2 linked regions of the Caenorhabditis elegans genome follow. The protein of the gene in region 2 interacts with the protein of the main gene of each other region in a pairwise test. Each region holds a gene or a part of one and is shown on either strand. Other genes may lie near its edges. The genes, in order: Y25C1A.7 and T28C6.3.

Region 1 (5,117 bases), on a different chromosome or scaffold from region 2:
AGTCGGAGTAGAAGCCGAGAAAGAAGTTATCGGGATGATCGGAGAGATCGCAAGAGGTGCGGAAATTTGCTGAAAATTGGCTGAAAAATCGCTGGAAATTCGTCGAAAATTACCCGAAAATTCACCGAAAATTGCCTAAAATTCGCTGAAAAATGGATGAAAATTCTCTAAAAAATGGCCTAAATTGGCTGGAAAATCGCTGAAAATTCGCCAAAAAATTACTTAAAAATGGCCGAATTTCGCTGAAAATTCGTCGAAATTGAATGAAATAAGAACTCCCTGAAAAATGGCTGAAAATTCGCCAAAAATTCGCCGAAAATTCCCCGAAAATTCGCCGAAAATTCCTCGAAAATTCGTCGAAAATTCCCCGAAAATTCGCTGAAAATTCACCGAAAATTGCCTAAAATTCGCTGAAAAATGGATGAAAATTCCCTGAAAATTTCCTGAGAATCCTTTGAAAATTCCCTAAAAATTCGCTAAAATACGCCAAAAATTCGCCGAAAATTCCCTGAAAATTTCCTGAAAATTCTTTGAAAATTCCCTAAAAATTCGCTAAAATACGCTGAAAATTCGCCAAAAAATGGCAGAAAATTGCCGAAAATTCGATGAAAATTCGTTGAAAAATCATTTAAATACGCCAAAAATTCGTTGAAAATTCGCTAAATTTAGCAGAAAATTCCCTGAAAATTCGTCGAAATTGTGCCTAAAAATGGAAGAAATTTGCTGAATATTGGCCGAAAATTGGCTGAAAATCGCCAGAAAATTAAAAAAAAATTTGCCAGTTTTTTGCTGTAAAATCAGATTTTTCGAGCTCAAAAATGCGAATTTTCATGAATTTTTTGCCATTTTTCCTGTAAGAAACCTTCGAAAATTGTGTAAATTTGCTAGAAATCAACGAAAAAAGTACAAAATAACTGCCGGAATTTTAAATTTTCAGCTCAAAATGTGAATTTTCTGAGAGTTTTTTAAAATTTTTTGAAGCGAAACCCTCGAAAATCGTGCAAATTTCCTAAAAAATCGACGAAAAAATACAAAAAAACTGCCGGAAAATCGATAAATTTGCCAAATTTTCGCTGAAAATTGCTCTAAAATTGGAATTTCGAGGTCAAAATGCGATTTTTCTTGAATTTTTCCAAATTTTCTCGGAAAAAACCGTCGAAAATCGTGCAAATTTCCTAAAAAATCGACGAAAAAATACAAAAAACTGCCGGAAAATCGATAAATTTGCCAAATTTTTGCTCAAAATTGCTTTAAAATGGGATTTTTAAGCTTAAAAATCGATTTTTTCCGCACTTTTCCCCGTTTCCAGCCAAAATTCCCCATTTTTTTTGCAGATCTCGTTCTCGCGAACGCCGCCGTTCCCCGCCACGTGGCACCACCAGTGATAGACGCCGAGACGACGAGAGACGCAGAGAAAAAGAGCGACGAAGAAGCCGATCGAGAGACAGATTTCGACGATAAAAACGCTAAATTTCGCCGTTTTTTCGCCATTTTTTCACAATTTTATTGATTTTTTCGCTCTAAAACCACCAGTTTTTCCGTTAAAAATTGCTAGTTTTTACCCAATTTTTCCATTATTTTATTGATTTTTTGCTTGAAAATTCTCCGTTTTTAACCGTTTTTTTTCCACTATTTTATTAATTTTTGTTGCTCAAAATCCCGATTTTTTCTCCGTTTTCTCTTGAAAAATCATCTCAAAATATCGAATTTCTCACGGTTTTTATCATATTTTTGTGAAAAATTTTTGAATTTTCTCTGTAATTTTATTGATTTTTCGCATTTTTCTGACTTTTTCCACACGGTTTCTAGCCGATTTTTATCTATTTTTACCTATTTTTTCTCGAAATTTTACAATTTTTAATATAATTTCTAGAAACCCAACAACGTGACAGCCCGAAATGGATTTAAACTTTCAAAGTGAGTTGGCAAAATTTTTTAAACAAAAAAATACAGTAGAAAATTGCGAAAAAAAATTTATTTTTCGATTTTAACAATGGCTCAACCAGCGCCGCCTTCGCAAAAATGGGAGGATGTTAATCTTGGTAACTAGGATTTTTAGCTCGAAAATTGGCGATTTTAAGCCGGAAATTTGGATTTTTCGGGCTTTTCCGGTCCTGAAGCCTGAAAATTTGGCGGAAATCGCATTTTTTTTCGCGAAAAAATTAGATTTTTGCTTTTTTTGGTGTAAAATCTAGGCTTGAACAAAGCTTTTTGTCCTGAAAATCCAGAAAATTCCGGTTTTTTCACTCTAAATTCACAAAATAAACGGGTTTTTTGGCCATAAAACCCTCCAAAAATCCTAAAAAAACCCAAAAATTGCAGATTTCGATAATGTGAACTCGACGAACGAGCAATCTGGAGCATTTGGTGGAAATATTGGCGATCGCAATATTGTGAGCATCTGGAAAAGCTGAAAAATCGATTTTTTGGACTATTTTCACTGAAAAAATCGATATTTTATTGATTTTTTAACCAAAAAATCGATAATTTGAATTTTTTTTTGTTAAATTTCACTAAAAAATCGATATTTTATTGATTTTTTACCGAAAAAATCGATATTTTATTGATTTTTCACTGGAAATGCTCAAAAAATCAATAAATAACCCATATTTACGTGAAAAAATTCAAAAAATCAATATTTAGTTGATTTTTCTGTGAAAATGTCCAAAAAGTCGATAATTTATTGATTTTTTGTCAATTTTTCGTAATTTTCAGCTCGTCGGCGGAAGTGTTGGAGCAACATCGTCAGCAGCTCCATCTGGCGGAGTTTTCGATGATTCCCAATCGACTACTTCCACCAGAAAGGGAAATTTCTTCTCTTTTGAATATTATCAACAGTTTTTCGATGTCGAAACTGATCAGGTAGAGGAAAAGCAACAAAAAACTGGAAAAATTGAGAAAAATTGCATTTTTCACCCGAAAATTCCAGAAAATTCGCGAAATTTTGATGGAAAATCGGTGAAGATTTTTTGAAAATTTGGATTTGTCAATAAATTATCGATTTTTCACGAAAAGCGCTGAAAATCTCGAAAAATTGTAGCTTTTTTTCGATGAAAAATCTCTGAAATTTTGGAATTTTCAACAAAGAGTTTTGACCTATTTTCCAGTGAATTTAAAACCAAAAAGCCGATTTTTTGCTAAAAATTGACCAAAAAACGGGATTTTTCATTAAAAGCCTGTGGAATTCGGATAAACACTCGTTTTTTACCCGGAAAAACCGTCAAAATTGCCGAATTTTCACCTATTTTCATCTATTTTTCAGCCGAAAAAGCCTAATTTTGCCCAATAAACAGGCTTCATCATGGAAAAAAAAACGCCTAAAATTCCGGAAAATTTGAATTTTTTCGGAAAAAACTCATTTTTACCCGGAAAAACCGTCAAAATTGCCGAATTTTCACCAATTTTCATCGATTTTTTGAAATTTTTCCCCCCTTGAAAAATCGATAATTAATCGATTTTTTTCAGAAAAATTGACAAAAAATTTGAATTTTTACCGAAAAACGCTGAAAATTAAAAAATATCTCGAAAAATCACTGATATTTTGCAATTTTCAACCAAAAAAACTGGGAAAAAACCTCAAAATTCTCGAATTTTCACCAATTTTCATCGATTTTTCGGGCCGAAAAGCCCTAATTTTTGCCAAAAAAGCAGGGGATTTTTCATGGAAAAAACGCGCCTAAAATTCCGGAAGATTTGAATTTTTTTCAGTTACAAACCACTGAAACTTGTGTATAAAAATTCCTTTTTTTGCTCTGAAAAACTGCCAAAAATTCGTCGAATTTCACCATTTTCCAGCGAATTTCCATTTAAAAAAAACGGGATTTTTCATTGAAAATGTGGGTAAAAATCTCTGAAATTCGGAAAAAAATTCATTTTTTCCCGGAAAAATCTCTCAAAATTGTCCAAAAACCACCAAAAAAATCATGGAAAATTTATGAAAAATGCTCGTTTTTTCACTGAAAACTGCTAAAATTTCGCGAAAATCCCCCGAAAAAATTGCTCAATTTGATTGATTTTTCAAATCAATTTTCCCCCTGAAAAATCGATAATTTATCGATTTTTTTTGCAGGTTATCAAACGTCTGCTCATTTAAAATTTTCGTTTAAAATTCGCTGAAATTCGTCGAAATTGTGCCTAAAAATCGCTGAAAATTCTCTAAAAAATGGATGAAATTCGCCAAAAATTCACTAAAATCCGCTGAAAATTCCCTGGAAAATGGCCGAAAATTCGCTAAAAATTCGAAATTAAAATAAAATAAAATTTTTATTAAATTATTAAAATAAATTATTAAAATAAAAATAAAATAAAATTTTCATCAATTTCCCCCCCCCTGAAAAATCGATAATTTATCGATTTTTTTTGCAGGTTATCAAACGTCTGCTCAACAGTGTCATTCCAACCCATCGTAACTATATTCAAGACTTTTTGCAACCAATTCCCGACCTTTGGGGACCATTTTGGGTGTCTGTAACTCTTGTTTTCGCTATCGGAATTTTTGGAAATTTGGCACAATTTATCGAAAATGACGGAGCCAAGGGGACGTATGGATCCGATTTTCGAATGGGTACGGAAATTGGACAATTTCCGACGAAAATCTGGAAAAACTGGAAAAATTGTGGCAAAATTTGGAAAATTTGGATTTTTTTGCACTAAAACTGCAAAAATCGATGATTTTTCCGCCCCAAAAATGTGTCGTTTTGTGGTTTTTTTTTGTTGCGATTTTCCACTGAAAATGGAGCAAATTTGCTTACATTTTTTTCTGAAAATATCGATTTTTTCCCTATTTTTGGGAATTTATCGATTTTTTAAAATTTTGAGAAATATCGATTTTTTAAAAAATTTTTTAGAAAAAATCGATTTTTCAGTTTTTTTGAGAGATTATCGATTTTTTTCAAATTTATTCAAAAATTATATTTTTCCTAATTTTTTGTGAAATTATTGATTTTTTTTTTCTAATTGGAAATTGTCCCGAAAATCTGGAAAAATTGAGGCAAAATTTGGAAAATTCGGATTTTTTTGCACTATAACTGCAAAAATCATGATTTTTCCGCGCCAAAAATGTGTCGTTTTGTTGTGGTTTTTTTTTGCGATTTTCCACTGAAAGTGGAGCAAATTTG
Region 2 (3,267 bases):
ACCGTCGCATTTTATTTCTGAACGTTCAATTATACAACGGGCTCAAAATCACCTATTAACTAACTTCCAGTTTTGAACCCTTCTTCAATTTTTTTAATCGACTCTGCCTTTTTGACATTAATACCAGGTTCATCAGATCCGGAGCTTGACATATCTTTTTCAGCCTTCTCAACATCCATCCAGCTAACCGAGTAATGATGAGTAACACCTTCCATTGTTACTGACGTAGTTATTTTGATGTCTTTAACATTGATTTCAAATGCATTATTAGATTGTAACAATGATGGGACAAAGCCTTTTGATATCTGACGACCACGAAAGTTTTTTGACAAACTGGGGCATTTTGGAGAAGAAGTTGTGAACAAATGAGACAATTGCTTGCGAAACTTTTCCGAATCTCTGAAAATGATATGTTTGTAGCTTTTGGTACTGTGATTCTCTAGATATACTGATGTTTTAAATTAGATTTTATTAAACTAAAAAGACAACTCACACCCAAACTCACATTCCATTTGCTCCCATTTCTTTGAATCGATTCTGTTTTCTTTTAACAAATCGCTTCCGAACGACACACGAATTAGGGAAATTGAGAAATAAAATTGATTCAAATTGCCTCCCCCTCCCATTTTTTTTTGAAAAATGTGAAAACGTGGAAAAACCTTTTTTAAAACAATCACGTTACAATAAACACGTATTTTAGTGTGCTTTTGAGGTTCAAAAATTTTAAATACCATTTCCCTCCAATTGAATTTAAGCACCCAAAAATAATGTGTTACTTGGCAAGCTGTTTCAATAAAAACTTTAAAAGTGACTGGTGCAAAAAATTTTTGTAATCATTTGAAAACACAACTTCAGGTGACAAATCAACAAAAAAACAATTAAACGAAATTAGAGTTCCCGGGATTCTTGTTTTGGAAGTCCAAAAAGCAGCCACGATCCAATGTACAGTCCCAAGACCAGAATACATACCAAAACGTTAAAACTTTGACTCGTTTTGGTGACGTTTCTGGTGTGCTTTGAATTACATGAGTTGGGGCTGATTGTGAGGGCTTCTTTTTCAATTATTGATTTGCCTTCTTCATCTTCATATTCTTCCTTGTCCTCGTCATCCTCTTCATCGTCACTCTCTTTCACGTATTCGTTGACTACAGAGTCTTCTGACTCTGATTCATCCAAAGCATCGGATTCTGATTCTGACTCGCACAATACACTCTCCTCCAATTCGTCTGCAAACGAAGTAGTGGGCTCTTGGTGGAACTTTTGAGCATCATGTAAAGTCTTGACAAATAATTTCTCGTTGGTGTCCAGAAACTTCAGCTCCATGTCAAGAGCTTCTTGGAGTTGGACATCTTGCTTCTTTAAAATCTCCAATTTCTCTTGGATTCCTATTGGCATTGTAAACGTAGTGGCATCATTTTCGTTTCTCTTTGTGGCACCACTAAAATTTGTATGCAATAGTAAGGTACATTTCACGACAATTGTGTGCTTATTTTTGTGTGCTACAAGTTCTACTAAGTTTGTTTAAAGTATTCTTTATTCATAAAATTTTGGTTCTATTATTAAAAAAATCTAAATTATGGACCACCAAATAGCAAATGGACCATCGATCAGCAAAGATATAAATTTAATAGCAAAAATACTAACCCTAGTTCCTGATTATTGTTGTTTTTTATGGCAGTCTCAGAAATGTTCGACATTGTTGACTTGATTCTGTAATTTTTTAAGTTTAATTGAAAGCTATTGGAAAAGAAGTAGAAAATATTCAAAGCATACAAAATATTTGCAAAATGATTTTTTTCTAAAAAGTTATGATGAGAGTACTAATTAGAACAACAAAACCCAGAGATTCCCAAAAAATACTGAGTGACACAAAAATAGGATTGCATTGGAAATGCAAATAGAATTTTAATGAACATACATACAAGATTATGGGACAGGTGTCCTGTACGGCGTACAGACAGAACCAAAAAGACCAGATTCTGTTTAAAAAGAAAAGATGTGGCAGATGTGATTTTAAGCCTCGATCGAAAACGGTAAGATGTTTACACAAATAATTAGAGAATTTCATAAGTGGATGAAACAAAAAAAAATTACCTATACGTTCGGATTATACAGAAAGGTTTCCTTCTTGAACTTCTACATTTTAATTAAAAAAAATAAATAGTTAACACATTTATGTGAAGTTAAAAGTTTCTCTGATCAATTGCTCTGTTGAGGTTTTTTAATCTGTTATTTGGATATTTATTAGACCCAAAATAAAACAATAAACATTAGCACTTTACGACTAATACAAAATAATGCGCGAAACTGAGATGAATGAGATCGTGTATGCGAGAGTTGATGACCGCGTGATGTGCAATTATTTGCAAATCATTAAGAACAGGGCTTGGGGCAGTGAGTGCGGGTCACCTTGTTCTTCTTGGTGGGTCGATAATCAAACATCTTTGCACCAACGAGAACGTTTAGAGATATACAGAGGGAGAAAAGATGGAGAAGGTCAGCAGCCGGCAGTAGGCTCTTTTCTTCTTTAGATGGAATGGTTGATGGCAATCTGGTGAGAATAACATATTGAAAGTGTGAGAAGAAATCACAGTAATCCCGGAATATAATGCAAGAGAAAATCAGAGCATCAGATATGCTAACTTTTATGATCCAAGGAACAGCTAAAGTGCATTATAGATGCGAAAGTTTTAAAACTTTATTTTCGCGCATATCTGGAATTTTCAAAAAAAAAAAGGACAAGATTTTTCATTTCTAATTAGAACTATTTGCAAGCACAATAAAATTCAAATACCTTTTATTCTCGCAGTTTTACAAATTTACGGATTTTGAACAGTAGCAAATAGAATTGAAAAACTGCTTACTTCACAAACATTATACCGAATACTTTTACTCGTTAGCAATTTTTTCAAATGGATGTATTAATTTATTTTATTTAACGTTATATAGAAAACTGTATAATTTCAAAACAAAGACTTAATCCAATTTGTAAAAGATCCCAGTATTCCCATTCTTTTAGGCTTTCCATTTTTCTTCAGAGTTTGGCACTTTTTCACAAGTTTCTTATTTTGATCGTCCACAAACAGAATGGCACTTTGAGAAATGATTAATTCTTCTTTCAACAGAAAATTTTCAAGTCTGGAAGTTTCCCATTAAACATTGAACGCAATGTCAACTCACTTGTAGTTGTCCAATTCCCGTTTGATTTTATTTAGTTGTTCCTGTAGTTGATCTTCTCTGCTATTTCTTTGCGGCCTCATAATTTTT

The links.
Region 1: the proteins of T28C6.3 (region 2) and Y25C1A.7 interact in a two-hybrid assay, tested with the Caenorhabditis elegans proteins (one large-scale study listed by BioGRID).

What each region holds. Positions count from the first base shown.
Region 1 is NC_003280.10:3,067,819-3,072,935, reverse strand, and holds the start of Y25C1A.7 (Yip1 domain-containing protein), read left to right. Parts: upstream 1-1,873; 5' UTR 1,874-1,898; coding exon 1,899-1,917; intron 1,918-1,986; exon of another isoform or gene 1,987-1,993; coding exon of another isoform or gene 1,994-2,042; intron 2,043-2,322; coding exon 2,323-2,393; intron 2,394-2,715; coding exon 2,716-2,862; intron 2,863-4,365; coding exon 4,366-4,564; intron 4,565-5,117. Other genes in the region: Y25C1A.8 (Zinc finger Ran-binding domain-containing protein 2), read left to right, coding at 1-56, 1,335-1,461.
Region 2 is NC_003282.8:8,818,786-8,822,052, reverse strand, and holds T28C6.3 (uncharacterized protein), read right to left. Parts: upstream 1,713-3,267; 5' UTR 1,698-1,712; coding exon 1,645-1,697; intron 1,439-1,644; coding exon 889-1,438; 3' UTR 788-888; downstream 1-787. Other genes in the region: T28C6.5 (RING-type domain-containing protein), read right to left, coding at 1-17, 65-399, 506-522; T28C6.10 (Transposase), read right to left, coding at 2,964-3,138, 3,181-3,260.